Drosophila melanogaster: one gene and its partner. The protein of the gene in region 2 interacts with the protein of the main gene of each other region in a pairwise test. Each region holds a gene or a part of one and is shown on either strand. Other genes may lie near its edges.

What was found.
Region 1: the proteins of Syx16 (region 2) and Vps45 interact in a two-hybrid assay, tested with the Drosophila melanogaster proteins (2 studies listed by BioGRID).

The regions. Positions count from the first base shown.
Region 1 is NT_033777.3:9,561,538-9,572,391, forward strand, and holds Vps45 (vacuolar protein sorting 45), read left to right. Parts: upstream 1-2,386; 5' UTR 2,387-2,488; coding exon 2,489-2,581; intron 2,582-2,644; coding exon 2,645-2,843; intron 2,844-2,894; coding exon 2,895-4,327; 3' UTR 4,328-4,555; downstream 4,556-10,854. Other genes in the region: CG9393 (uncharacterized protein), read right to left, coding at 390-464, 638-1,033, 1,280-1,558, 1,653-1,799, 1,899-1,985; CG16789 (uncharacterized protein), read left to right, coding at 4,687-4,926, 5,019-6,019, 6,074-6,982, 7,045-7,215, 7,269-7,443; CG16790 (uncharacterized protein), read right to left, coding at 7,714-8,050, 8,112-8,453, 8,506-8,603; CG9396 (uncharacterized protein), read right to left, coding at 8,946-9,212, 9,596-9,636, 9,695-9,842.
Region 2 is NC_004354.4:20,379,024-20,395,372, forward strand, and holds Syx16 (syntaxin 16), read right to left. Parts: upstream 14,729-16,349; 5' UTR 14,620-14,728; coding exon 14,539-14,619; intron 14,465-14,538; coding exon 14,331-14,464; intron 14,269-14,330; coding exon 13,425-14,268; 3' UTR 13,311-13,424; downstream 1-13,310. Other genes in the region: jb (jean-baptiste), read right to left, coding at 11,167-11,167, 11,232-11,360, 11,417-11,745; l(1)G0004 (lethal (1) G0004), read left to right, coding at 12,513-13,235; HERC2 (HECT and RLD domain containing protein 2), read left to right, coding at 15,857-16,349.

The DNA of each region.
Region 1 (10,854 bases), on a different chromosome or scaffold from region 2:
GAGGAATTCTGGTTTCTTATTGGACATCGAGAAAGCTTCGCTTGTCTTTTCCATGACAACAGGGCTCTGTTATCCAATTTTATTACGCTCAGATGACTTTAAAATGCTATTTTATACAAGACAGTTTAAAAACGAATTCGAACTATAATACATAAACCGAATTTTCATACTTAGTCGATTTGTTTGGCAAATCCTTGGAACGAAGCGTTATCTACGACGAGGGGATCATTACCTGACGAAATTTTCGGTCCAAAGATTTATGGCCAAGTAAATCGATCTCCTTCAGTGTTTAGGTAAACCTTTAAAGCTGGACAGTTTTTGTGCTTCATCCCCACATTGTATTTTAAAATATATATACTATACACATAGATATCGTTGCAGAGATGCGATTAGTCTAGGCCCTCCTCCATCTCGTCATCCTCGTAATCTATGCCATCGTAGTCCGTCGAAGAGCGTGTCGTTAGCTGCAAGGATGAATCAATCGGAATTTGCAATTAACTGAGAATTTTGCACGTGCTCAAGCTGAGGCTGTCTACAAGAGTGTCTGGAGCCAACAGAAGACATTGAACCAGAACTATCGAATAAGCTCCATCAAGTCAAGAGTAAAGAACTACAAATTTCAGCCAAAAATACCCACCTGGTTGTAAATCCCACGCCATGCCGCAAACGCTCCCATGGCCAAGACGGCTCCCACGCCGGCTACTATTTTGGTGTTCAGCTCGGAGTCTAGGAACTTGCGCTCCGAGGCCGTCAGACTGGCCTCCGTGCCACTGGGTGTCTTTGTGAGCTTGACGGAACTGTATCCCTCGATGCGGAATATGTCCTTCGTGATGCGGTTGATAAAGTTCACTAGGTTTTGGCAGCCCTTAATGTGATTCTGCAGTGGATTGTTAGGCAGTGCGATCTTAAAGATGATGGCAAGATAGCTGTAGACAATGGCATCAAACTCGCTGTAGGTGTCGCCAAAGAACCACACCTTGCGACCCAATTTCCGGGAGAGCAGGTTCACCACTTTTTTGGCATTGACAACGAGCTGTAAAGTAAAATGATTAATTGATAGTTAAAGAAACGTCTTGCTTTTCACAACATTGATAAGATATATTGATAACAAAAGACCAATACATGAGAAACTGTTTCTTATTAATATAAACTGATGAAACGTTTCCAATCGAAATGCAGCTTGGGTGTAAAACATAGGTTAGATAAACAAATTAAAAAATCCTCGGATTTAAAGATACAATAATGTAATATGAGACAATATGAAATTGAAAGCACTCACGTAGTCGCCTTCGTGCTTGTCCAACTTGTCGTTCACATCGAAACCGGCCATCACCTGAACCACGTCGCAGGCTTCCCTTTGGTAGGACGACGGGTAGTAGAAGTTGAAGGGGAATGGCGTGCGCTTGGCGTAGAGGCCCCGCGTGGTTGTGTCAAAATTGTGAGGCTCTCCAAACAGGAAGTAGTGGTAGTAGGCATGCAGATTGGTGAACACCCAGTTGGCGTAGGCGGTGGACAAATGCTTTTGTTTAGTGCTTAAATGCGCATCTATCGGGTAACCCTGAAAGAATACGTCGAATTAAGCCCATAAAAAAACACATATCTATAAATAGAGCCTGCAGTTTGTTCACCCCGGCATTGTTTTGCTCACTCACCTCGAGATCCAGCACGCGCTTAATTTGCCTATAGCCCGCGAACTTCTGGTTGCCGATCTGCAGATACGGCAGCTTCCCGGCTCCCGAACGCAGCGGATTGGAGCTGGTCTGCACGTCCATGGGGCAGCGGGTGAATCGCAGGAGGCACTGTTTCCGGCAAAGAGGCGCTTTCATCAGTTTCTTTCATCATCTGCGATAATGGGCAAAACAGGCGTGCTGGCCGCCGTGTGATGCAACGGAACTTACCAGAGCACGTAAACATTCAAAATCTATGGACGGCAGTCCGTACTCCCCCTTGTACACATACAGCATGGCTCCCAGTTGCATCTCCATTGTGTCCTAGTCTATGCTTTGCTCGTACTCTTGTATTTAGCCGGTTTTCAACAGTCCACCTGCATATCAGCCATCCGAATTTGAATCCAAAAATATATGCCAGAATTTCTGGCCGACTGCTGCGAGTGCTTCAGACTGATAACTACTGGGCACTCGATATATCGCTCGAGCATATCGGCGCTTTATCGATTGCCGGCCAGGGATGTTGCTACTCGAAGTTTATTTTGGCTAATGAAAAGATACGGAATTATGTTTGAGCTTAATTGCTATTTATGTTTATCTTTATTGCTATTTTTATTATACTACCAAAAAATTGTAAGTTTTTATCTATATGCATTTTTACATATTCACATTATTTTACATTAGCTAGATCTAGCGAATGTTACCCAAATGTTTGGTCACCGCTGTTATCACGGAGCTATCGCAATTGGGGCATCTCCAACCCATCTGTTTGCGAAAAAAAACATTAATTTCTGATTTTCGCAGTAAATTAGTTAGCAGTCATGAATCTGATAAGCGGCATTAAGTTGTACATCGAGAAAATGTGCTCCGAGTCGGGACCGGGCATGAAAATCATTCTGCTGGACAAGGAGACGGTAAGTGCAAGGACTGACAATCAAATCCCCTGCCATATGATCAAAAATTCACATCATTCGCAGACCAGTATAATTTCGATGGCCTTTAGCCAATCGGACATGCTGCAACGGGAGGTGTACCTATTTGAGCGCCTGGACTCGGGAAGATCCAACGAGCGGTTAAAGTATCTAAAATGCATCGTCTTTATACGCCCCACCAAGCAGAACATCCAGCTACTGGCCAACGAGTTGCGGAACCCCAAATACAGCGCCTACTACATTTGTAAGTGGGTCAGTAGAAGCACCTTCGGAATAGTACTAAACTCATAAATAGATTTCAGCAACATCATTCCCCGGACGGACATTAAATACTTGGCAGAGTGCGACGAATCCGAATCGGTGCGAGAAGTGAAGGAACTGTATGCAGACTACCTGTGCGTCAACCCCAATCTGTTCTCATTAGGCATTCCCAATTGCATGGCGAATCTTAATTGGCTGCCGGACGCTCTCAACCGCAGCATGCAGGGCATCACAGCCGTGCTGTTGTCCCTTAAGCTGAACCCAGTGATCCGGTACCGAGCCGGTTCTCAGGCAGCGCAGCTTCTGGCCAAGCTCATATACGAGCAAATCACAAAAGAGTCCTCGCTATTCGACTTTCGCTCCAACATGGATGGCGCTGCGCCACCGCTGCTGCTTGTGCTGGACCGCAGGGACGATCCTGTGACGCCGCTTTTGCATCAGTGGACATACCAGGCCATGGTGCATGAGTTGCTGCACATAAAAAACAATCGATTGGACCTGTCCAATTGCCCCAATGTGCCGAAAGACTTCAAGGAGCTGGTCTTATCCGGTGATCAGGATGACTTCTATGGCAACAACATGTACGCCAACTACGGCGAAATCGGATCTACCATCAAACAACTGATGGAGGAGTTCCAGCGCAAGGCGAACGACCACAAGAAAGTGGAGAGCATAGCAGACATGAAGAACTTTATTGAGTCATATCCGCAGTTTAAAAAAATGTCTGGCACTGTGCAAAAGCATTTGTGTGTGATTGGAGAACTGTCGGCGCTGAGCAACAAGAGGAATCTCTTCGAGGTTTCCGAACTTGAACAGGAGATCGCTTGCAAGGCGGAGCACTCGGCCCAGCTGCAGAGAATCAAAAAACTAATTGCCGACGAACGGGTTTCCATCGATGATGCTCTTAAGTTGGTGGCACTTTATGCATTGCGATACGAGCGACACGCCAACTGCGACACATCTGGACTGCTGCAAATAATCAAAACGCGCGGTGGACGAGCGGCTATAGTGCCATCGTTGATTGAGTATGCTGGAACCCATGTACGACAAGGAGATCTCTTCAATATGGTGCGGATAACGGACGCCGTAAAGCTGACACGGAATTTGATTAAGGGCCTTAAGGGTGTGGAAAATGTCTTCACACAGCACACTCCTCTCCTGAAGGAAACTTTGGAGGACGTGTTTAAGGGCCGCGAGCTGGATCCCCTCTTCCCGGCCATCAATTCAGAGCTTGTGCCATTTCGACGACCACCGCAGGAGGTTGTCGTGTTCATTATTGGCGGTGCCACGTACGAGGAAGCCTTAGCGGTGCACCAGTTAAACAACGCCGGCTATAAAGTCATTCTTGGCGGCACCACCATCCATAACTCGCAGAGTTTTATCCAAGAGGTCGTGGCCGCCACTAGTGGCATTCAGTTTAAGCACACCAAATCCATGATCAAGTACTGTTCCACGGATAACATTTAAAGTCTATTTTGACTAGATAGCCCCAATTATATTGTTAACTATTTATTAACTAAATATGAATGTGCATTATGTATTAAGGTATTCCATGCATTGTACCAATTCAAATCCATTGGACTATTTAACCTTTTAAGCGTAACCATGTAAACATATTTATTGTTATTCTCGAGGGTAACACCAGGCAACGCCTTGGACAAAATGTATTATATACAACTATGTGTGTACAAAATTACTAAACTCTCGTTGTCCTTGCAATAATTCCACCCCGTTTCGGCAAAAAGTTCCTTGGCAACTCCCAGGCAACGTTTCGTTTGGCTCAAACAAGAATCTGATTTTTCATTGGAGGAGTATCATTGACCATCATGTCCAGCACATATTTCAATGATATCTGGCACCAATCCCAGCATGAATGCGAGCTTCTATCCACGATTGACTATGAGAGGCAGCACCAGGATGTGGAGACGACGGTGGCCACCATGAATGCAGCGGTCGGATCCGTCGCCGCCGATGCGGATGCCAAGGCCTTGCTGCAGTCCAGTCTGTACGAGTTCTATCTGCGCTACATATGTCTGAGCAATCGTTTGGAGGATGTCTATGATAATGTGGGTATACGACTTTCTTAAACAAAAGTGGGATATATATAAGGAGATGATATATCCTTTGACTCTGGTTTACTTCTCATCTTTCATCATAGATGATTCAGCCTCAGAAGCGCCAGTTGGTGCGTAAATTACTAGACGCCTGTCTGGGTCGAGTGGTGGAGCTGAAGCACGATCTCGTAAATATCGACTTGATGGAATTTAGCTACAACGACGAGGTGGTGGAACGCCTGCGCCTGACGCCCATGGAAACGGAGCTGAGGATACCACGCTACTTTCTGCGCGAGCGTCAGCAGGAGCTAGAGTTTCGAAAGAAGACCATGCATGAGATCCTAACGAAGCTGGGTTGGCTTGAGGAGCACGAGCTGGAGGAGACGGTTACCACCGAGATCGAAGCCATTAGGATGCTTCAAATGCACGAGCGAGCGCGACAAGGACGCTTGCGTGCCCACTTCATGAAGGAGATTCGCATCCTAAAGGAGAAGGGCAAGTCGGAGGAGCGCACCGAAAAGGAGCGCAGTGACTCTGGTCTTTTGGCTGCCATGAAGATTCAGAAGATGTGGCGTGGCCACACAGCCCGACGGATAACGCGGCGCCGCAAAATGGAGGAGATGATCCTAATCGGAATGCTGCCACCACCGCCGGCTGTGGTTAAGGAACGAGCCGAGAAGCTGGAGAAGCTGCAACACAACGAGAAGCGCTACCAGGCGCAAGCGTTTTACGGCAAAGAGTTTGAGGAGCGACAGAACGCACTAAAGGAGGAGATTCGGGCCAAGCACGGAGCCAGCATGAAGGAGGACATTGCCGATGAGATTCGGGCTTGGGTAAAGGACTGCTACGACAAGACTGGCAAGCTGCCGGACTTTCCATCCGAGGATCAGGGCGGCTCATTGCATATTTTCAGCAGACCTGGAACTGAGAGCGAGCACAGCCGTTCGTCGGCCCGCTCCTCCAAGGAGTCGCGAAAGACCAAGGATAAGTCCAAGTCACCCGCTCGCAGTGGTGACCTCAACGTCAACGAAAACCAAGACGAGGAAGTTAGCTTCCAGCCGGCACCGTCCGTTTGCCTGCCAGACATCCGTGCGGAGATCGATCTGTGAGTAAAGATATATAATAAATTGATCCAAATTTAATCTTTTTACAACTTCAGGTTTAACGATACCTGGCGTGATAAGGATGAAACCGGTGTGCTGAGCCAAGCGGCCTATGAGGACATGATCTACAGCGACAAGTACCAGGAGGTGGAGCTAGAATTTCGGCGCGCCGTCGACGATGTGATGCGCCAGGAGATCGAGCTGCTCCAAACGGCCGTCGGCAAGAAGGTGAAGAAGAGCAGCAAAAAAACTCGGCGATCCGGCAAGAAGAGCAAAAAGAAGAAGGAGAAGGATCTAACGCCGGATCGCACTACGGAGTCGCTGTACGAGGAGCTGGTCACGAATGGCATAATCCGGAAATACCCGGAGCTAAGGCTAAAGCAATTCCTGGGCGATAAGGCGTTGACTGCCAGGATTGGCACTAATCCCTCACCGGGCGACATTCGCCAGATTCTCACGGAGTACTGCATCCTTCCACTGGGATCTGATGCCATACATAACTGTACTCCACTGATACGTTCCATCCTGTTAGCTGGCCCCAAAGGATCTGGGAAGAAGGCACTGCTCCACGCCATTTGCACGGAGGTGGGTGCCGTGCTCTTTGATCTGACTCCTGCCAATATTGTTGGCAAGTATCCTGGCAAATCGGGACTGATAATGCTAATCCATCTGGTACTGAAAGTGTCGCGACTGCTCCAGCCTGCGGTGATATTCATGGGCGATGCGGAGCGGCCCTTCATGAAGAAAATTCCAAAGACGGATCGCACAGATCCCAAGCGACTGAAGAAGGATCTGCCCAAGTTGATAAAGAACATTGCGCCCGAGGATCGCGTCGTTTTCATTGGCACTTCCAATCTGCCCTGGGAGGCGGATCAAAAGCTATTGCAATCCGTCTACAATCGGTTCATCTATATTCCACGACCGGATTACGGCGCCATGTCACATGCCTGGAAAACATTGTTACAGTGCGTAAATGTGGGGGATTCATTTGCAAAATAATCTACTGATTTGGTTTGCACCCCGACAGCGATTACTCTGGTGGCATTTCCAATCTGGACACCAGCGCCATGGCCAAAATATCAGATGGCTATACCATTGGGTCCATCGATGCGTGCCTCAAGGAGGTGATGACCTGCAAGCGGAAACTCCAGCTGCGCACCCAACCATTGACCAATGCCGAACTGATCAATGTTCTGTGGTAAGTAGATTTGGCTATGAAATTAGTTAGTTGTTAGTTTCCATGCCTTTCAGCTCACGAGATCCCGTCTACCGCGAAGAGGAGGAAGCTTTCGAGTCCTGGTGGTCGAAGACCCCGCTCGGCCGCCGTCGTCAGCGGTTTTTGGAGCTGGAGGAGGAGCGATTACTGGAGGAGCAGGCGCAGGCGGCCAAGCAGGGAAATGGTAACAAGAAAAAGGGTCTTAATTAAAAGGTAATCACTGGACTTCTTATATTTAAGCCTAATTTGTAAGGAAACATCTTTGGATTGCTAATGGTAACCATTCATTCAACGCTATGGCTTGCTTTACAATCTTGCTTTTATTAGCAAACTACAATTTATATGTTCATATATATGAGCTAATATGGAACAGATTACATTTTTGATACCTAATAAAGTCAATATATATTTTCCACTACATTCCAATTGAAAGATCAGCATGCATAAATATTTATGATTCAGTTAAAGACTGGCAATATCCTATTTCAACGAGTAGGTAAAATCCTTGTTGCCGCACTTTAGGTGCACCTCATTGACCGCCAGGCAGAGTTTGTCCTGATCATCAAGGAGCTCTTTTAACTCCGTGAGCTTTTCGTTAAGCAGTGTCTCCTGGTCGCCAACGCACCAAAGAAGGCTGACGTGGAACGAGGCCGGATCATAGAACTGTTGCAGCCGGTAGTCGAGCATCACTTGGTCGATGGGCTGCAGAATGGCAGTCATCTTCTCCACAAATGCAGCGTCCAGGGGCGCAGCAATGAAGGTCCTGGTTCGCTCCTCATTCGTGTAGATCCGCAGCCCCTGCAAAGTGGCGGCGAATCTAAAAGAGGATTGGTCATCAGGATGGGAGATACTAGATTTAACTTGGTTAAACATCTCACCCCGCAGAGCTGTTGAGGGCGCTTTGCAAGGATCGGGAGAATTCATCGATCTGATGGTACTGCAGCACCACTGTTCGACTCAGGCTCAGATGGAGCGACTCGTTCGGCTGCAGTTCCAAGTGTGGCTCCAGACGAGCAATGGCCTCCGTTTGGAACTCCTCCAGCTGGTCAACACATGCTGTTGCCGGCACATAGACGTAAGTGGCCCAGTTTCCCCGTTCATGCTTGAAACTACGCATGCGGCCGCCATGTTCCGCGGGATCATCCACCACATCCTCGACGAACTCCTCGGGCTTGGGCTTCTTGGGGCCCAGCAGGGTGGCTGCTTTGGGTAGGGCCGGTCTTTGGCGGTTATAATGTAGAAATCTACGGGTATTCCAGTAAAGGACGTTACCTTTTCAAGGTGATCAACGCGGGAGTTTGAATGTTTTCGGTGCAGTCCTCATCCTCGGAGGCGGAGGAGCTGCTGCCACCATAGTCCACCAGGGCCATATTATTATTTATTTATGTATTTTTATTTGATTGCAGTAAACAAGAAATGACCAACAGCACAATGTTCGGCGGTTTTTATTTACATTTATCGATTAAATTGAAAGTGATGTGTATTTAGCTTGGTTTTAAATTTATGTTGATAAACTATTTTGTTTTAAGCAATTAAATTGCAATTAATAACATTAAAAAAAAGTTATAAAATTCACTTTTAATTATTTAAATAGTACTTATTTTTTTAACATTTTTTTACTGTAAAATTTCCACTTTAAATGTATTGACCGTTAAAGCCTTAAAACTTGTTTTTATTTAGACTAAATCCATTGAAATGCACAAATTGGACTACTACAAACTGGCTTCAATAGCCGGGCATTGCTCGCCATTTTTCTCCAGCCTCGACTGCTCCCACTGGTAGTTGTAGTACCTACCCAATTGGAAGAGCTGCGTCAGACTCACGAAGAGATTAACCGCGAACAAGCTGTAGTTCTTGGGAATGATCACCAGAGAGTAGCGCGTCCAGATGAGGTTCGTTGCCCCAAGAGCCAGACATCCGTTAGGCGAAATCTTGTCCGCAGGACGCGTCAAATCACTGAGACCCGCGATAACGAGGCTCTGTGGTGGAATATAAACGGAATGGTTGCGGAGATTAGGGAGATCTGGCCGATAGTGCAGGGTAAGTCCCCCCATTGACTGCAAATCTGAATAGCATGTTGGCAAAGCTCCCCCCAGTCAAAACAGTAAAAGTATTATGAAATATTCCATGAGCCCCACAAACCGCACAATCATTCAGTTATCAGAATCTCGCGCGTGGAGAGGAAAATGGTATATAAGTACATATATACATATTTATCGCGGGCTTGAACAGGTTTGCCGAGAACTAAACAAATAATAATAAAACACAATATTCGCCCACAGGTTTGTTTATCAGTACGGTGATAATGGGAATTGGCTAAGGACGCAGGGTTCATGGTTATGCAAGTAGTGCAAAAACTTACCCACTTAACGATTGGAGCCCAAAAGAATATGGTCTTGGGTCCTGAAGGAAAGATATGTTAGTTCCTCTCTGTGCTTAAAATGCTTCTATTTATGATCACCTGCTGGGTGCATCCACAAGGGTCGCATCTTGGGGGGCACATACTTGTCGCAGGCCTTGATAAGTCCATTATATGCCCTGGAGTGAAGACCCTTTCCGGCGGAAGCTGCAGCCGTGGGCGCAGGTGTTGTTGGAGGAGTGGCAGACATTCCGGAACGCTACTGTTTTTCCTATATTTTCCAACGTCCAACCAATAGCAGATGCACAGAGTAACTGCTGGTCAGGTTTGCGAATTGAGAGGAATTCTATATGGCCTACCTGTAATCAAGTATTTGTTGAGTATGGGCTGATTGATTGGAAGCGCTGGAATAACAATCGCCTGGGACTGCGATAAACCAGTTGGGAAGTAGTGCTCCTGAACAAACTGAGGCACAACAGCTCCAACCAGGCGTCCATCTACAACTGAGCTTTCCGAAAAGTCCGGGGTCCATGCACATATGTTTATGTTTCTCTAGTATTATTAGCTTAGCGCTCCTGTTATCACCAGCACTATCAGCCACTGGAATACGACGACGCCAGCCCCTTTTTTTGCACTTTGCTTTTGCCGCAAAACTAATATAAGCTCTTAGTTATATTCTCCTTTTATTGGTTTTTAATTAATTTGTGTTGACTAATTGTGTAAAACTCAACACAGTTATCGAACAGCGAATGTGCAAATAGATTCATCACACATGGCGTATGAGTTATCTTCTTGATAATCCGGTTTTATTGCAATCTAAGGATTTCTACTCTTTTGCAATTATTGTAATAACAGCTCATTTCATTTAAATCAGTCAAACATAATTGTATTAAATCAAAGAATAAGATATTGATTACCTTTGCCTTTTGGATATGTTTTCCTAATTTGGCATACTTAAAATAATACTTTTAAGAAAATATCTTTTAGCCAGTTTGGTTCATTTATATTACTGAATATAACCCATTGTTGGGCCACCATGTTGGGCCACATCCACTTTAATAAAACGAACAACTACGTTTATCTAGTGACTAAAGTCTTAAAATGTATTGATTTATCATTCTCGTTTCGATTTAACTATACGCAAAGCCTCCACAGTTACAACTTAAGTAATACGAATCACGTCGATAAGGCGGTGAACCATAAATAATAATGGTTAACAGGTTGTAAAACGCAGTTTCGCGATCTGCTAGTACAGCTTCCTC
Region 2 (16,349 bases):
TCCACAACACGAAGAACTTTTGCCATCGCACCCCAAAAACAATGCCGACCAGTGCCAACTTGTATTGCCGGTGGTTTAAGTTCGGGGGTTCGGGTTTTGGTGTTCTAGGGTTGGGATTAGGAAAAGGGGTAGGGAGAAATATTGACGGGGCCAAACTGTGGCATGACCAACGAAAATAATATGAAATAAATTCCAATAGAGCAGCCGAAGAAGAATGAGAAGTTGAGTGGGCTCGAGCCGGGGCCAATTGGGGATTGGGATTGGCCGAGATGAGTGGCTGGACAGGACCTGGAGCAACTGAGCTGGGGGGGTGTGTGGTGGTGTGGAGGCTTTTGGGGTTAGGCTTTAAGAGCGGACTGCAAAAGGACCGGCGAACAACAAATCCGTACAAATTGAATAAGAACTCAATCTTTGCTACTGTGCGAACAACTTTCTTGGGCGGCCAGCAGGACGAAGAGTCCTGTGAACAAGGCGGAATGATAAAAAAACACAAGCACACACCCAAGATGCGGAAAAACAGAAAGTACAAACGCAGTAGTGGAAATGGTTCGCCATGGAGGCAACTCTCTCCGGACTCAGGAATACTCCCTATTGATGTTGTCCTGATGTAAGTCAAATTCATATTGTTGTCGGATTTTAAATATGCCTTAAAAAATACCTTTAAAAGAACTTTATACATTACATGCAAAAATATACCCTCTTTAAGCGTTATTCGAATTGAAAATCACGAAAGACTTATTTCTTTAGACTTGACACAAGGCAATTGAACACGGCCGAAAAGTGCACAATTGATGGGTATTAAAGGGAATTGAATTGAAATTCCTTGGCAATTGTTTGTGTATCATTATGGTCATCATCAGTGCCCACGACTTTGTACTGAGTGTGTTTGATTGTGCCCGCTGTTATTATTATGGCTATCGATGCTCCCCGATGGATGGATGGGCTTGGCTTTAAAGCCGAGCCAACTTCGTATCGCCGGCACGTAGCCATAACCTAACTCAAGATCGGACTGCTTTAAGGTCGCGGGCTTGGGTGATTTCGGCATGGGTTCGGGCGGATTCAGGTGGCTTTCTAGGTGGGTATGGAGCCAGCACCCATCGATTGATTTAGCATTTGGGGTGTTCGGCGTTTGGCGTTTGGCACTCGGCACTTTGGCGGCTTTGTCGGCCTGTCGACGCACGCGGCACTATTAATTATCATGTTAAAATGTAATTAATTAAAGATGTCGTCAACGTGCGTTTGCACATAACTTTCAATGAAAAGTTAATAAATTACGTAGTGCCGAAAACGAAATTACAAACGCCATCATCGAGCCACGACAGCCGCAGCAACAAAAGCAGCAAAAACGCGGTCCACAATGATAACAAATCAAACGAAAATGTTTAACCTGCCCACTGACGTATCCGTATTCCCCTGTCCGTGTCCGTATGTGTCCGTATGTGTCCGTTCGTCTGTTTGTCCGTTTGTCCGTTCGTCGGGGTGTGGAAGGTGGGGAAAAACCACAGCAAAACAAATTAATAAATGCATAATAAATATGCGTAATAATAATGACTAAAGAAAAATCAGAAACAATAAATATTATTTGAGTAGTGTCGACCCACAAACCGAAGGCAAACAGCGGAATTAAAGGAGGATGGCCTGTATGGATGACATGTCATAAACGTTTATAAATGTTCATGTGCGTAAATAAAATCGTAACAATATTAAAACTGATGCGTAGCGCTATATTAAATAGATGTTTGCAGGGTCGACCCAGAGGGCCGGAAAATGGGAAATGGAAAGCGGTAAGGGAAGCGCGCTTTAAAATAATTTATCGCGTGCAATATTCACACACATGCTCAATACGTGCGCGTGTCCTCAAGCGCGTGACGCCCCCCATCCACTCAGAACTCCACATTTTCCATTTTTCTGGGTTCTGGGTGATGGGTGATGGGAGATGGGTGATCTTTTGGCTCCGACGACTCAAACACACATTTGTAAGCAAGTCAGGCAATCGCTTGCCCAATTAAGTGCGATGGAGCACCGGCTGAACGCAAGAACAACACAACACAACACAACACAACACATACAACCCCTGAGCGGCGGGCTCATAAATGTTATCACAATGGCTAATTCGACAAAGTCTAAACACTCGGATTCGTGTTGTCGGCATGCCGCCAGAAAATCACAAATTCAGCGCTGTTCCGCCCTCCTTCTCACTCTTCTTTGCAGCTCAATTAAAAGCGGCAAGAACATAAAAAGCTCCTTAAACTCGCAAAAATGCACTTTGATTCAAAATCCTCGTTAACGAGCGTGCTCACGGGAACCAAAAAAAAAAACGGCACTCAGTGAGAAAGTCGTTCTCAAATGCTCCTAATACTAAGCTTTTGCCTGCTCTTACTGGGGGTATAATGATTCAGTCAAAACAAAAAACAAGAGAGAATGCTATAGTCGAGTTCCCCGACTATCTGATACCCGTTACTCAGCTAACGTGAAAGCAAACGCAAAATTTCATAATTTTTCTTGGATATCGAGAAAATATTGGGGAATATATATAATATTGGTGGCAAAAAGTTCTTTGGCAAATCGATAGATATTTACAAGAAAAATGTAAAAAAAAATGTGAAAAAATATCATAACATTTATCAAAAGTGAGGGCGTGGCAGTTTTGTGCATTTTGTGGGCGTAAGAGCGTGGCAATTGGGTCAATGGGTCAACAAACTATATATACATTAATAAATTTTATGGTGCCTGCCTGTTACACACTTTTCAACGAATCTAGTATACCATTTTACTCTACGAGGAACGGGTAACTATCGGGAAGCATGGCATCGACTGGACGAGCGATATATGTAGCAAACAATCGCTAATTATTCGGTAATTCTTAAACAGTTTTTATGATCCTTCGATGACTGCCGATGGTGCAGACGAAGTTATTCGTGGTTTACAAGCTCTTAACTGTGAGGAGCGGGATCTCTGGCTAATTTTTTTGGTTTATGGAAACTAGCAAGTGCTGACAGCCGTGATTGACCATCAGTCTCACGCGAGGGATCTACAATTGGCCACAATCAACCGCTAGTTCGTGAAGGTCATCACTTGGGGAGCGAGTCTCCTACAGAAAAGCCTGCCGCAGAAAACAACATTAAGCATCATGCCGTGGGTAATATTCCGGCGGCAGGTTCTCAGACTCTGTGGCCAACGATCCTTGCCGACGTCATGGCAATACTACAACCTGCAGGCTGCTCTTGGACACTGGATCTACAATAACCTTGGCATCGGAATCATTTGTTCAGCGAATAGGCCTGCGTCGAACTCTCGCACGAATTTCTATTCTCGGTCGTCGTCGCCAACAGCGCGGGCATATCCAGCTGCGCTCTCGTCAATCGGGAGAATCTCTCGAATTGGTCTCGTTTATACTCACCTCATCTTTTACTTGGAAGCAAATCTGCGAGCTTCCTTTGGCACACCAGGAGCAGTCGATGTCATCGTTGGATCGGTTCAGCTCTGGTCTCTATTCACAAGAGAATGGATTGGTTTATTGAGGGTTTTTATTCTGCCTGCGATAATTGATATTGCTGTTACTCATCACGCAAACCTAGACACAATGGTTCGTTCATTCATAGAGATGGACAGCATTCAACCTAATCAGGCTCTCTTGGACGCTAACGATCCTGCAGAGCGTTATTTTGCTGCCACCCATTAGCGCTCGACGAAAGGGGTTTATGTCGTCGAGTAACCTTTCTAAGAGATGGCACCGCCTATTGAATCGACCTTGCCACAGGCCATCAATCGCCTGTTTTCGCTGGAACGGAAATTTCGTTGTTCTACAGAATTGAAGCAGCAGTACGAAGCTTTCCTGGACGACTACTTGCAACATGGACATATGGAACAAGTAACATCGGCTCAGCTTAAAGAGGCCCCAGATACTTGCTTCTACATCGTGGTGCTGCTGTCATCAAACTGGACAGCAAGACTGAGAATGACACGCCGCTTCATTTTCGCCTACTGACGATGACTCAGGGATTGGTACCGTCGCCTTTTTTTGGCTGTTCGATTTCTTAAGCAACTCGCCGACGATCATCACCTAGAGTATCCTGCAACAGTCCACGCACTTCTGCGCGATGTGAACGATATTCCTACAGGGTGCAACACCTTCGAGGACCTTATGATTGTAAAGGACGAGCTTATTGGACTCTTGGATAAAGGCAAATAAGGTAATAAAGGCAAAAACTACGGAGATGGAATTCCATCTTCCGAACAAACAAAATAAACTAAAAAGTAACACTGGCGGTTTATAAATTATTATAAGCAATTAGTATACAGCTGTTTCGATACAAGCTAGTCTTACAAATTCAAAGCTATCTGCATTTTTAAAGTTTTTTTTTTTCCTATTGCATGCTCCCTGCATTTGTGGAAGGAAACTGACCTAATCAGTCGACTGTCCTATCATTTTGTTGGTAATTCATCGACTTTTCCAAGGCGTTAGTCTTGTTGAGGGTCCCAATCTCCTGTTGTCTGAAAAGATACGTATGATTGAATAAGTGTAGATGAAACATGATTCCTCGTGAGATTTGTTTACCCGCCCAGAGGAGGCTCCAGCATCTGCCGCTTAGCCAACGGCTTCCCATCTGGATTTTATTCTGGTATCGCAGTTAGATCCCCAGTTGGGTCCTTCACGGGATGCGTTCGCTTCTTTGAGTTCAGTATTCTTTTGAAACCATCAAACTTATGTCAGTGCTCTCACCACGAATCACTTGAACTCACCCGCGCAACACACTGCAGTTGGTTTTGGAAATCAGCATATTTAGGCGTTTTTGCTTTTCGCGCGAAGGACTTCTGCTAGACCGCTCCAAGTTCAAGATCGAGAATTTGCCAGGTGCAGTCTGGGCAGACTTATTCACTATATTGGAAGGTAAGTCCTTAGTCTTGTTAGACTGATTGTCCATCCACTGATTGAATCGACGCGGAAACTGAGGCTGCCCCTCTTTCGGAATATTCCGGAGGAAAAAGGAACGTGCTTCGTTGTTCAAATTTGGCATCTTGAAGTTCCGTTGTGACATGGAAATGGTTTCTCTGGTGCGGTTTGTAGGTGTGAACTGAATTCAATATTGAAAATGAAAGAGTTGCTTATAATAAGTATACAAAATTATATCCAAATTTTTCATTATTATTCATTATTATTATTATTTAATGGCGTATGAAAACATTTTGGCGTAGCATGAAACTTTTAATGGAACTATTGATATGGGGACTTGGACAGCAGTAGATTGAAACGGCTTTTTGCCATAATTTTTCTTTAGACTGCCATTTGTTTGTGAGCCCTTTATTGTTGCGGCATTTTTAGTTTTCTCAAAACTTTACCAACCCGCACTGCACCACGGATGGGATTTTCGGTGGCCGCCTATTTCGATATGCATGCAAAGAAATGTCAAAATTCAATTTAATGCTGCCGTAACGAAAATCTGTCAGCTTGCAGCACAAGTAATGTCAAAGCCAAGCGCGCACACCCCCATGGAGACAGATGGAGAGTGAAACAGGAGGATTTGGAAAAGAGTTGAAGGCAGCCACAAAGTGATGCTCACACACACACACACACACACACACAAGCACTAACACTCACATGACGCACACAAAAGCCAAAGCAGGATGCTTGCGTCTGTCAGCGGCAATTGTGGCTGATTTGCGCTTTTTCCACGCCGCAAAAGCGAGGGGATGAGCCGAAAGTGGGCGGTAAAGGTGGTCAGGAGTTGGCGGGCGTGGTATGGAACACACAGCGTACAACATTCCAAGGCATTTGATAAACGTAGACGCATCGCAGTATACGTACCTTTTACTTCGACGACACCTCCTTAGAAATCCTGTTCTTTCTCCTTCTGCAAAGAAAACAATCACTTGAAATGTATGAAACTAAAATGCATTTGCTGTCATTAAATTGATAGAATTTCTTTGATATTCATATTTGGTCGCTAAGCGCGGCTCACAGAGAATAAATCATAGTCATAGGCATTCAAAACAATATCAAAAAAGGTATATTAGCACAAATCAAATCTCTTACAGCTATCATGCATGTTAATTGAAACTTAATAAAATTCAGACCGTCAATAATAATACTACAATTTGCAGATTTCGATCCCCCTTTAAATCAATACTTAACTTAGATGGAAAAAATTCTAGTGTGGAGAGACAATTTTGGCACCTCAAGAATCAATTAAAAATAAACATACATTTCTTTCGGAGATATGTGAGTGTGCACGGCCAGCAGTAAAAAATTAAACGGACCAAAAAGAAACAAAGAAATAAGCGGTATCAATCTGTAAATTGCAAAGACAAATTAAATTGCAGAAAAAAGTCTGCCCTTGAAAATCAATTGCACCATTCCGATCTGCTGGAGACCTTGGCCTTGAATACGATCCTAATTTCTAATACTTAGGCTTAGCCTTCCGCACCGTGGGACCAGGAGCGCGATTATGTGACGAAAGCGCTTTCGGGTGATCTTCCTGTGGAATTCAAGGCTTATATAAAGAAAAGTTTACCGATAAAAAACGAAATAATGCTCTCCTCGCTTATTCCATTTTTCTTCTTAAATGCCCTTCAATTTTGGGCTGCACTACACTCTTTTTCTTGGCCGACCCCTGAACTAAATGATTAAGATTAAGATTAATTATAAGATTTACTTATTGTCATACTTTTTTAAGACAGATTGTAAATAAAGAGAGAGAAAAAAAAATTATTCCGGACCGGACCGAGCTAGCTGTCTAGTTACGGAATCCCTTCGCGGTCGTCAACTTGGCCTTAAGATTTACGTCGACACATCCACGATATTCTCAAAGTGAAAATAATGCCGGAAAAGCCGCGTCCGTTGCTTCGCCGGACCGTCAGAAGTGGAAGAAAACCATCTTGGCCTTCGGGTTCCGGCCAAACCCATCTCTCTCTCTCTCTCTCTCTCTCTAAGTCCCACCGCCATTCCCATGGAACTGTAAATCAGCTCTGTTGCCTCTTTCAATCCGAAATTCTTGACTCGAAGAATTCTTCTTCTGCCCCAATTTTAGTTCTGGGATTCGAACATAGATGGCGGCCCCAAACCTTCTTACCCCACTAGCTGCCAGAAGCGCTACATTCCGCCGAATGGGGTTGACTGTTATGAATGGATAAGTAAGCAAGTTATTAGCATTGATTTTTAATTAAATCAATATAGGTACATTAAACATACATATGTATGTATGTACAAGTGTGCAACATGCAGATAGCCAAGGACAAGTCCCCTCGGAATTTCGATGCACGGCTCACAGACAGGGTCAAATCGTTGTGGAGGCCTGGGCTGTAGTGTGGCCACCTTGGAAATTAATTTCTCACGTTTCACGTACAATTTGTATGGCCGGAAGCGTTTTCAATCCGTTGCGGTGGTGCGGGCGTCGGCATCGGCATCCTCCCACTCCTCCCGGTCCTCCTACTCCACCCGCAGCCAGCTCGCTAATGAAGGTTTCATATTGCTCCTGGATCTGATGTGGCTGTTGTGGCACGGAATTATAAGGCGCACAAATCGCCGCACGTAGCAGCAGCAGCAACTTCTTCGTCTCGTCCTTTAACGGGACTGCAGTTCAGACTCCGGACAACGGACACCGGCACACTTATACGGACACGCCAGGGGCAGTGGCAACTTGTGTTTTTGGGGGGTCCTTTAATGGGCCTTTAACTCAAAGCTGCAACACTGGTTGCCTCTTAAAGAACTTATATACTTATATTTGTGTATGTAATGGGTATCGGATGGCTTATGCCTTTACATAATATTTATGCATTAGTATTAGCAAAGGACAACTAATAGTTGAAATCTCAATGGATATTAGATAATAAATACCAAACAAATTAAATCATTGTTATTTTTCAAACATATCAAATTTATCAGAAAAATAAACTTATTTTCGCTGCTCGTTTGTTCAAAGTCAGTGGTATGCAAGAGTTTATAATTAGTAACAAATTTAATTTTTTTATTACAGTTGACTTGGGGATATATTTGGAGCTAAAGTTCTCGCCATTAAGCTGCACTGCGAACTCGGACTTGGTGGGGCTACCCCTTCGTCTACGCCTCTGACACACACGCTCACACACACACACACACACACACACACACACACACACACACACACTTCGTACACGCTTCGTATTTGGAGCGTGTAAAGTGATTTTTGTGCTGGTGCTGTTGTTGTTCTTCCCGTGCTGGTCCTGTGCTGCCGTGTGCTTTGCTTTCCTTCGGTTATTATTAGCTTCCACTGGGCTTCGTGTTCCTGGGATTCCCCCACTTGCTCCTCCATTCGATTCCATGCGATACTCTGCTCTGCCATACCCATTCCTCGTGTGTGTGCGTGTGTGTGTGTGTTTGTCCAAATTGCACAGGATTATGGGTCTTAATTTTATGATTGCTTCTTTAATCAGCCTCCGTAACTGCACGCCAATTACGTCCTGCTCCGTGCTAATTGTTTCTATTTCTGTTTCGGTTTCTGTTTCTGCTGCCGTTTTTCTGCCTCCTTTTTTTTTGTTCGAGCCCCGCCCATCCCCGCCTCCGAGCCGTGCCCCGTAATCGATGTGTGCTTTTCGCGATTAGCCGAGCGCCAAATGAGCTGGACGCGACGGATGGAGGAGCACGTCTCCGATTGAGGCCCGCGACGCTCCCTCCACGAATCCATCTTATATTATAGTTTTGTTGGGAAGGGCGAGATGTTTGGGAGCAATCATGTCGAATTGCAGACTTGGCCCGACCAAGCTTGTCTTACACCGAGTTCGAGGAACTAGCAACGTATTTACCCGCAATGAAGGTGGCAACAATGTGTTTTGGGTGCTGAAAGCCAGTTGCCTCTTTGAAAATCTGGACTGTCCAGTTCCCATGATCCGGCCCAAGACATGGAACGTTTTTCATTTCAACCTGAGAAGCCACAATGAACTACCCGCAAATGGGACGGTGAATATATAAATATGGTTATTCAGCTAATGATGCCCGTGTTAGTGTCTGTCCATTATACCGCTGCAGGATGACACTGTTTTTGTTCTGCACATCGCCTCAGTTTCTTTCGAGCCGCAAGGATTTGGACCAAAAGTGATAGGATTTGGCAAATAGTCGGGGCAGCATCACCTTGTGTCGCAGGACCTTATACTAATGGCCAGCAAAGTGGCAGCGGAAAGAAGGAGCCGCAATAGGCGACGCTTAAGCGGCTTATCCTGGCGAAACAAGGGTGCGACTGCGACTGCGACTCAGGCACGGAGTATTAAAAAGGTACAAACATATGTATGTATATATGACTTTTGCTGGCCAAATGTGCATACACTTAAGTCAAAGTCAAACTGCGGTCGTAGCCATCAATGCACATCTGCGTTTGACCAAATCAATGTCGAACAGACCGGCAGTATCGCGGCCTAATTGCGAAATATGTACTTCAGTTTGGGCGTAGCTGTTGTTGATTTACTTCCCGTGTGGCTGACGCAGGATACATGCTCGCCTTTGAGGTCCTGGCCCGAATCTAAGCTCAACTAATTATAACTTTGGTGCAATTCGTTCAAAACCTTTGAGGCCCTTGCGCGTGTATTCGCGTTTTCATCTCGCGCTCGTCGTCGTTTTCGGAGCTACCAAGGCTACCAAGGATCTCCGAGGTGGGCGGTGCGGCTGAAGTGGGCGTGGCGCAACTCGAGCGGCGAGCGCTTTTAGGCGATTTTGCTGGCAAAATCATGTGCAGCCAACGGCTTCGAGAGTCATTAAGCTTATTAAGTGGGCGAGCAGATAACCCAAATGAGTGCATGCCAAATGAAAGCCAACGCAATTTGCACTCATATCGCCCACGAATTCCTTGCACTGTTAAAAAAAGAAGGAACTGAGCTCAGCTGGTTGGCGGATATATGCAGTCCCAGTTTCAAATGCCTAAATGCCCAGATAAGTGTATCAACAATTTGGACACCGATCGAAATGAAAGGAGTAGGTAAATTCTGATGCTATACACAATTATTTTTTAAAACGTGCATCGTTAACTGACTCGAAAAGTTTCTGGTTAATCCACTTCTTACTATAACCATTTGTAAGTTTGTATCAAAATCAAGATTTTTACAAAGAAAATAAACACTTCAACGTACCAAGTTTTGAAATATTCAAACCACATCAGTGTGTTGAATAACCCCAAAACAAAAAAAAAAAAAATATTTAGATAATAGAAACTGGATCTCAATGGAGTCTGCAATATCCGAATAGATAGCAGATGCTAAGTATGTATGTTTTATATATATATAAATTGCATCTTCAATACTCCGTAGTTCTTAAGCAAGTTTTGTCCAGTGTACTTATTCAAATAGCTCATGCTCATGGAAAAGTTTCCCAAGAGGCCGGAAAAGGGTCAGGAGGTGGAAGAGAAGAAATACGAGAAAGGGCGTGGGGAACCGGAAACGGAGAAGATAACAAACAAATTGCCAGTGCAATTGCAAGCTTGAGATTATCGCCTGCCTGCGGTGGCCGCATTACTCGCTCTTAACTTTACTTAACTCCACTTTGGCTTACTTAACTTTGCTTCAAGTGCAGGCCAATAGGAGGCATTGCAATGGCCTTCTTATCGCTGCGGTTGATGCAAAAGTAAGTCCCATTGCATCCCCAGAAACTTTTAATGGCTGCGAGAGGAGCGCCGCCTACGCTGACCACCATTAATCTGAAAACCTAATACCCGCCTGCGGCTAAACTTCAATTTACCCGCTTACTCGATTGCCATCTTTCGATAACGATTGGCGAGCACAGGCCTAAAAGCTAGCTGCTATGCCACGCAGGACACTCATGGTTTCCTTTTTGACATTAAATTCACTTAATAATATTACCTTTTCGCATTCTAATGCCGTTCCCCAATTATAAACGAATTTATATTCACACAACACATACATATATGTATATTTATATATTAAAAAGTCACATATACATATGCACATACTCCACGTCGACCATCGACTATCGGATACCCATTACTAAGCTAAAGGTGTATGAGCTATGTATGTATACCTTTTTGCGTGCCTCTTTTGCGAAACTCTTTCAATTACCGACCTTAACTGGTAAAATAAAACGGCTCTTCTGAACTATTTTGTGATTTATTTTTATAGTGATTTATTTAATGGTTCGTTAATGTCCTGTATGGTTGAGAGACTCTGAGGAAGAGACATTGGTCATTAGTGTCTGAAAAGATATGTATGATTGAATATGTGTAGAATGAAGGTAATTCCTCGTGAGACTTGTTTACCAGCCCTGAGGACGCTCTAGCTTTAGTCGCTTAGCCAACGGATTCCCATCTGGATTTTGCTCTGAAACCGAAGTTAAATACCCAGTTGGGTCCTCCACGGGAAACGTTCGCTTCTTTACGTCCAGCATGCTAATGAAACTATGAACTTTATGTCAGGACTCTCACCACGAATTACTTCAACTCACAGCAAATTGCTGCTGAACAACAGCTCATTTAGGCGCTCGTGCTCTTCGCGCGAAGGACTTCTGTTAGGCTGCTCCATGTCCAAGATCGAGTCCATTCCTGCCAGCATTGCGATCACGCTAGCTTGCAAGTTGCCATCATTGACAGATGCCGTCTGGGCAGACTTATTCACTGTATTGGATGGCAAACCCTTAGTCATCGTAGACTGATTGCCCATCCACTGATTGAATCCACGCGTAAACTGAGGCTGCAATTCTTCCGGAATATTCCGGAGGAAATAGGAATGGGATTCGTTGTTCGGATTTGGCATCTTGAAGTTCCGTTGTGACATGGAAATGGTTTCTCCGGTACGGGTTCTAGATGTGAACTGAATTCAATAGGGACCAAAGCAAACCAAATGTCAAAAATAGGCTACCTTTTGATTGATTGAAAATGAAAGGGTTGCATTTAATAATTATGCAAAAATGATTTATATTTAATTATATTATATATATTATAAAATTATTATGATATATTTAAATTATATTTATCCCACTCGTCTGTAGCTGATTAACAGTTATCTGAATATGATTCCAAAATTAAGATTAAGTATATATGTACATATATACTGTTATTATATATTAACAGTATATATATAACAGTATATATATACATATATATGGGCCTAACAGAAACCATTATTCCTTTCGGTACCCTTTGCCATCTTTTGAGAATTTACATTGTGTTGTTCTATATGACAGTGACGTCACCTTATAGCTTTAGGCTGTACTTGAATTATTACTTTTGAAACAGCAATAATTCAATGAGTGATCAAATATGAATTCGCACTTCAATCAGCCTTCAAATCCAATGATGTTTCTTATCAAGAATTCAGGCGTATTATATTTCGGAATTCTACATTCTACATACTTTTTAGCCAGTGTAGAATTGTACATACGCATTGGTATTTTCGTCGAAATTCAGTGGTGTGGTATTCAGCTACAGATGTATTTGAAATCTCAGATTCGAGCGCGGTCACACTGAGCACGTGGAGCAGACAAAGCAGCTGGATTGAGAAATTATTGGAAACAACGCAGTAAAAGCACAACAGATTGCACCATGGAGGCAGAGAACATCAGAGCAGACGCATTCGAGCCGGCGAAGAGAGCGACGAAGCGCGGAGCCAGCGGAGGCGGGCAGCAGGACGTGGAGATGCAGGTGGACGAGGCGACCGGCATTGAGGGCCAGGTGCTGGGATCTTCGCGAGCATCGGCGCCGCCCAAGGCAAAGCGGGCCAGAAGCGAGCTGCGCAAGGTATCCGTGCCGCCACACAGGTACTCCTCGCTCAAGGAGCACTGGATGAAGATCTTTACGCCCGTGGTGGAGCACATGAAGCTGCAGATCCGCTTCAACATGAAGGCGCGCCAGGTGGAGCTGCGTGTGGGCCCCGAGACGCCGGACATAGCCAACCTGCAGCGCGGCGCCGACTTCGTGCGCGCCTTTCTCTGCGGCTTCGAGGTGGACGACGCCCTGGCCCTGCTGCGTCTGGAGGACCTGTTCGTCGAGTCGTTCGAAATCAAGGACGTGAAGACGCTGCGCGGCGACCACCAGTCTCGCGCCATCGGCCGCCTCGCCGGCAAGGGCGGCCGCACCAAATTCACCATCGAGAACGTGACCAAGACCCGCATCGTGCTAGCCGATAGCAAGATCCACATCCTGGGCAGCTACCAGAACATTCAGCTTGCGCGCCGGGCCGTCTGCAACCTAATCCTCGGCTCGCCGCCCAGCAAGGTGTATGGCAACCTGCGGGCAGTCGCCTCGCGCCTCTCGGAGCGCATGTGATTGGGAGAGCGGACTGGAGTGGACTGGACTGGAGTGGAGTTCGACTTGAGAGGGAGTAGTTGCGGTTTTTTTTTTAGCATTAGCAATAAATAATAAATATAATAACATGTATTCAAACATTTACAATATACACAAACACACACAGCGAATGACGGGAATGAGGTCGGCCCACTGGAGGCGCGTGGGCAACTAGAGCTTGGTCAGGATGAGCAGCAGCAGCATGAAGAATGTGACCGCCGCCAGGACGAGAATGACGCACATCTTGCGGTTCTTGCGCTGATACATTTCCGCCTTGTGCAGCTGGCGCAATCCCTCCGAGACGCGCGTCTGCGTCTGCTCCACGTTGTAGTCGATGCGGTCGAGCACAGTGCCCTGCTCCTGGACCATGTGGCCCAGGTCCTTGAAGATGTCGTTCAGGTCGTAGATGGACTTGACTATCTTGGTCACCTCCTGCTCGCGGTGCTGCGCCACCCGCGTGTTCTCCTCCTCGAAGAGCAGCAGCTGCTGTTGGGTCATCCGGCTGGCCGGCGGCCTTTGGAAGTGATCGTCGATGGCCTGCTCGTCGTCCTCGAACAGATAGCCGTTGCCGGACTTGCCCTCCGCCGGCGGCTGCAGAAAGTTGTCGAAGGAGTCGACGAAGTTCTCGGCGCTCTGCTCGCCCAGCTCCACGTTTGTGAAGACGTCTCCAGCGCCAGCGCCGCCGCCGTCGTCGAAGTACTTCTGCGAGCGCTCCTCGCGGGAGTTCAGCTGAAGCAGGTAGGCATTCTGGCTGGCACGGAACTTCACCGTCAGCTCCTGCAGCTGGAGCAGGGCGCAGTGTACCGCGTTGACCGTCAGGCACTGCTCCATCTTGCTGCCCACGCCGATGCTGCTGCGCACGCACTGGATGTGCCGGTGCGTGGAGGTGATCAGCTTGGAGACGATTTGGCTGAGCACCTCGATGTCGCACTCGTCGTCCCGCTGATCATCGAAGGCGGGTCGCAGGAGGTGGCGTGCGTGCAGGGAGCCCAGTTCATCCAGCTTAGGCTTGATCCTGCAAACGAGTGATGGGAGTGAAGTTGAACCCTGCGCATGGACTACTGTTTGTTTACCCACTTAGACATGGTGTACTGCGCCTCCTCGAACTTGTCCAGCCAGGCGGGCGGCGTGCCGTAGTCGTCCTGCAGCTCCAGTCCCTCCTCCGCCTCGCGCACCGAGTGCTTTAGAAGGCGCTCCGCATCGCTGCCCCTCTGGAAGACGGAGAAACGCAAAACATATGTTAGTTGATGATAACAGTGAAGACCCCAGACGGAGACGCACTCACCCGATCGTCGTAGTGATTCCGGTTCTTGGACGCATTGTTGCGCATGATGACGAACACCTCCGTCAGGTTGCGCGACGTCATCCTGGCCGTCTGCTCCCGATTTCTTGGGGATTGGAAGGATTGATCCAAGTCCGCTGAAAACTCAATCAGATTTTTTCCAGTTTCGTTTTGACACAGCAGCGCAGTGTGCCCGCTGACTTGCTCGCCCAGAATACCGATAGTCGCCACGACGAACTGGTCACCCTGGCCTGAACGCACCGTTACATGTCCGAGAATTATACTTATTTTAAATATTATTTTCTTATTATCTGTAGAATCTGTACTTTATATGTATACTCCTAAACATCCTATTTGCGAAAGTGATTTTTTCAATATACGGATTGGATAGCTCCAATAGAAATATTCGGAAATTACAGAATATAGTATTGCTTTGTTGAGTTTCAACAATTTATAAAGTTAATTCTGTACACACCGTCACGTAAATTGAAATGCAATACTTTTAGCAATAAAACGACCGTAATAGTACAATAAAAGTATTCAATAATTTGTTATGTGCGTTCTCTTTTTTTGCGTTACGAAAGAGTAATATAACCGAATGATATTGTAAATGATTTTAGAATCAAGTACATTTTAGGCTAATGTTTAAAAATTACAAATTTACAGAATTTTAGGGAACTCATTATGAGTTTGGCTTAACGTTTTCTAATAGCCAGCTTCCACTGTACTGGGTTTTAATCCGTGACACAAGCCTGTGACTTAAGAACACTGAAGAGCTATCGAAAGGCAAAACATATCGATGGCTCGACCCCCTGATATCGATTACTTGATAGCTCAGTCAGTTTGCACCTCCCCCTGATATCGATTGCCATCAAACAATTTTATTTCATTTTAAAATAATTCCTTGATTTCAAATTGCATTGTACTGGTAACTGGCACTTCCAATTGTGACCCGAAAGCAGCAAGCGCGGAAAACGGAGAGTTCAAGTGCGGGTGGAAAAGTCAGGATGTCATAACTAACTCCGAGCGGAACAACGAAATGAGCAGTGCGGACAAGGATAACAACGAATTATCCTGATCCTGGACGCCCGATTGCAGTTGTGTGTGTGCTTGCGCGCGTGTGCGTGTGCTTAGTGTGTGTGCCAGTGACGACATTGACCCGCCTTCGCCCCCGCCCCCACCCGCGCTCCAACCCACCACCACACCCCCCTTGAAGGGGTAACTGTGCCATGCCATTGTCGTTGTTGTGGTTGTGGTCGAGCTCGTTTCTAGCCTGACTTCGGCGGTGGAGCACTAGGGAAGGCAACACGAAAACACAAACATGTTCAACCGCCAGGCGAGCGGAGGAGCCGGATCCAGTGGCCAGGGTGCTGGGTCCAGCCAGACCGCTTCTGCAGCACCAGTCTCCGCTGGAGTTGGAGTAGGAGGGGGTGGAGGTGCCAGTGGAGCAGCGGCAGGAGCAGGCTCCGCAGCAGGATCTGGATCGGGATCAGGTTCCGGATCAGCAGCACCGCCCAGCCATTCGCCCGATCTCTACCTGCGCCCGCTGCCCTTTCTGGACGCCAAGTGGCTGCGCGCCGATCTCATCGCCTCCCTGCGCAACGCCGCCGACGGCGCCGTACTGTGGAACCATCTGATCCAGGACTGCGAGCTGGTCTCGTCGCCTACCGCGCCGCTCCTAAATGCCCGCGGACAACTATCCTACCTGGGCGACGATGGCAAGCACTACTGCGGCGCTCAGCAGCTCAAGTGCTCCTGCTGCCAGCCGGAGTACTGCGGTCCTCTCTCCGCCTGCAATTGCGACGGCTGTCGGC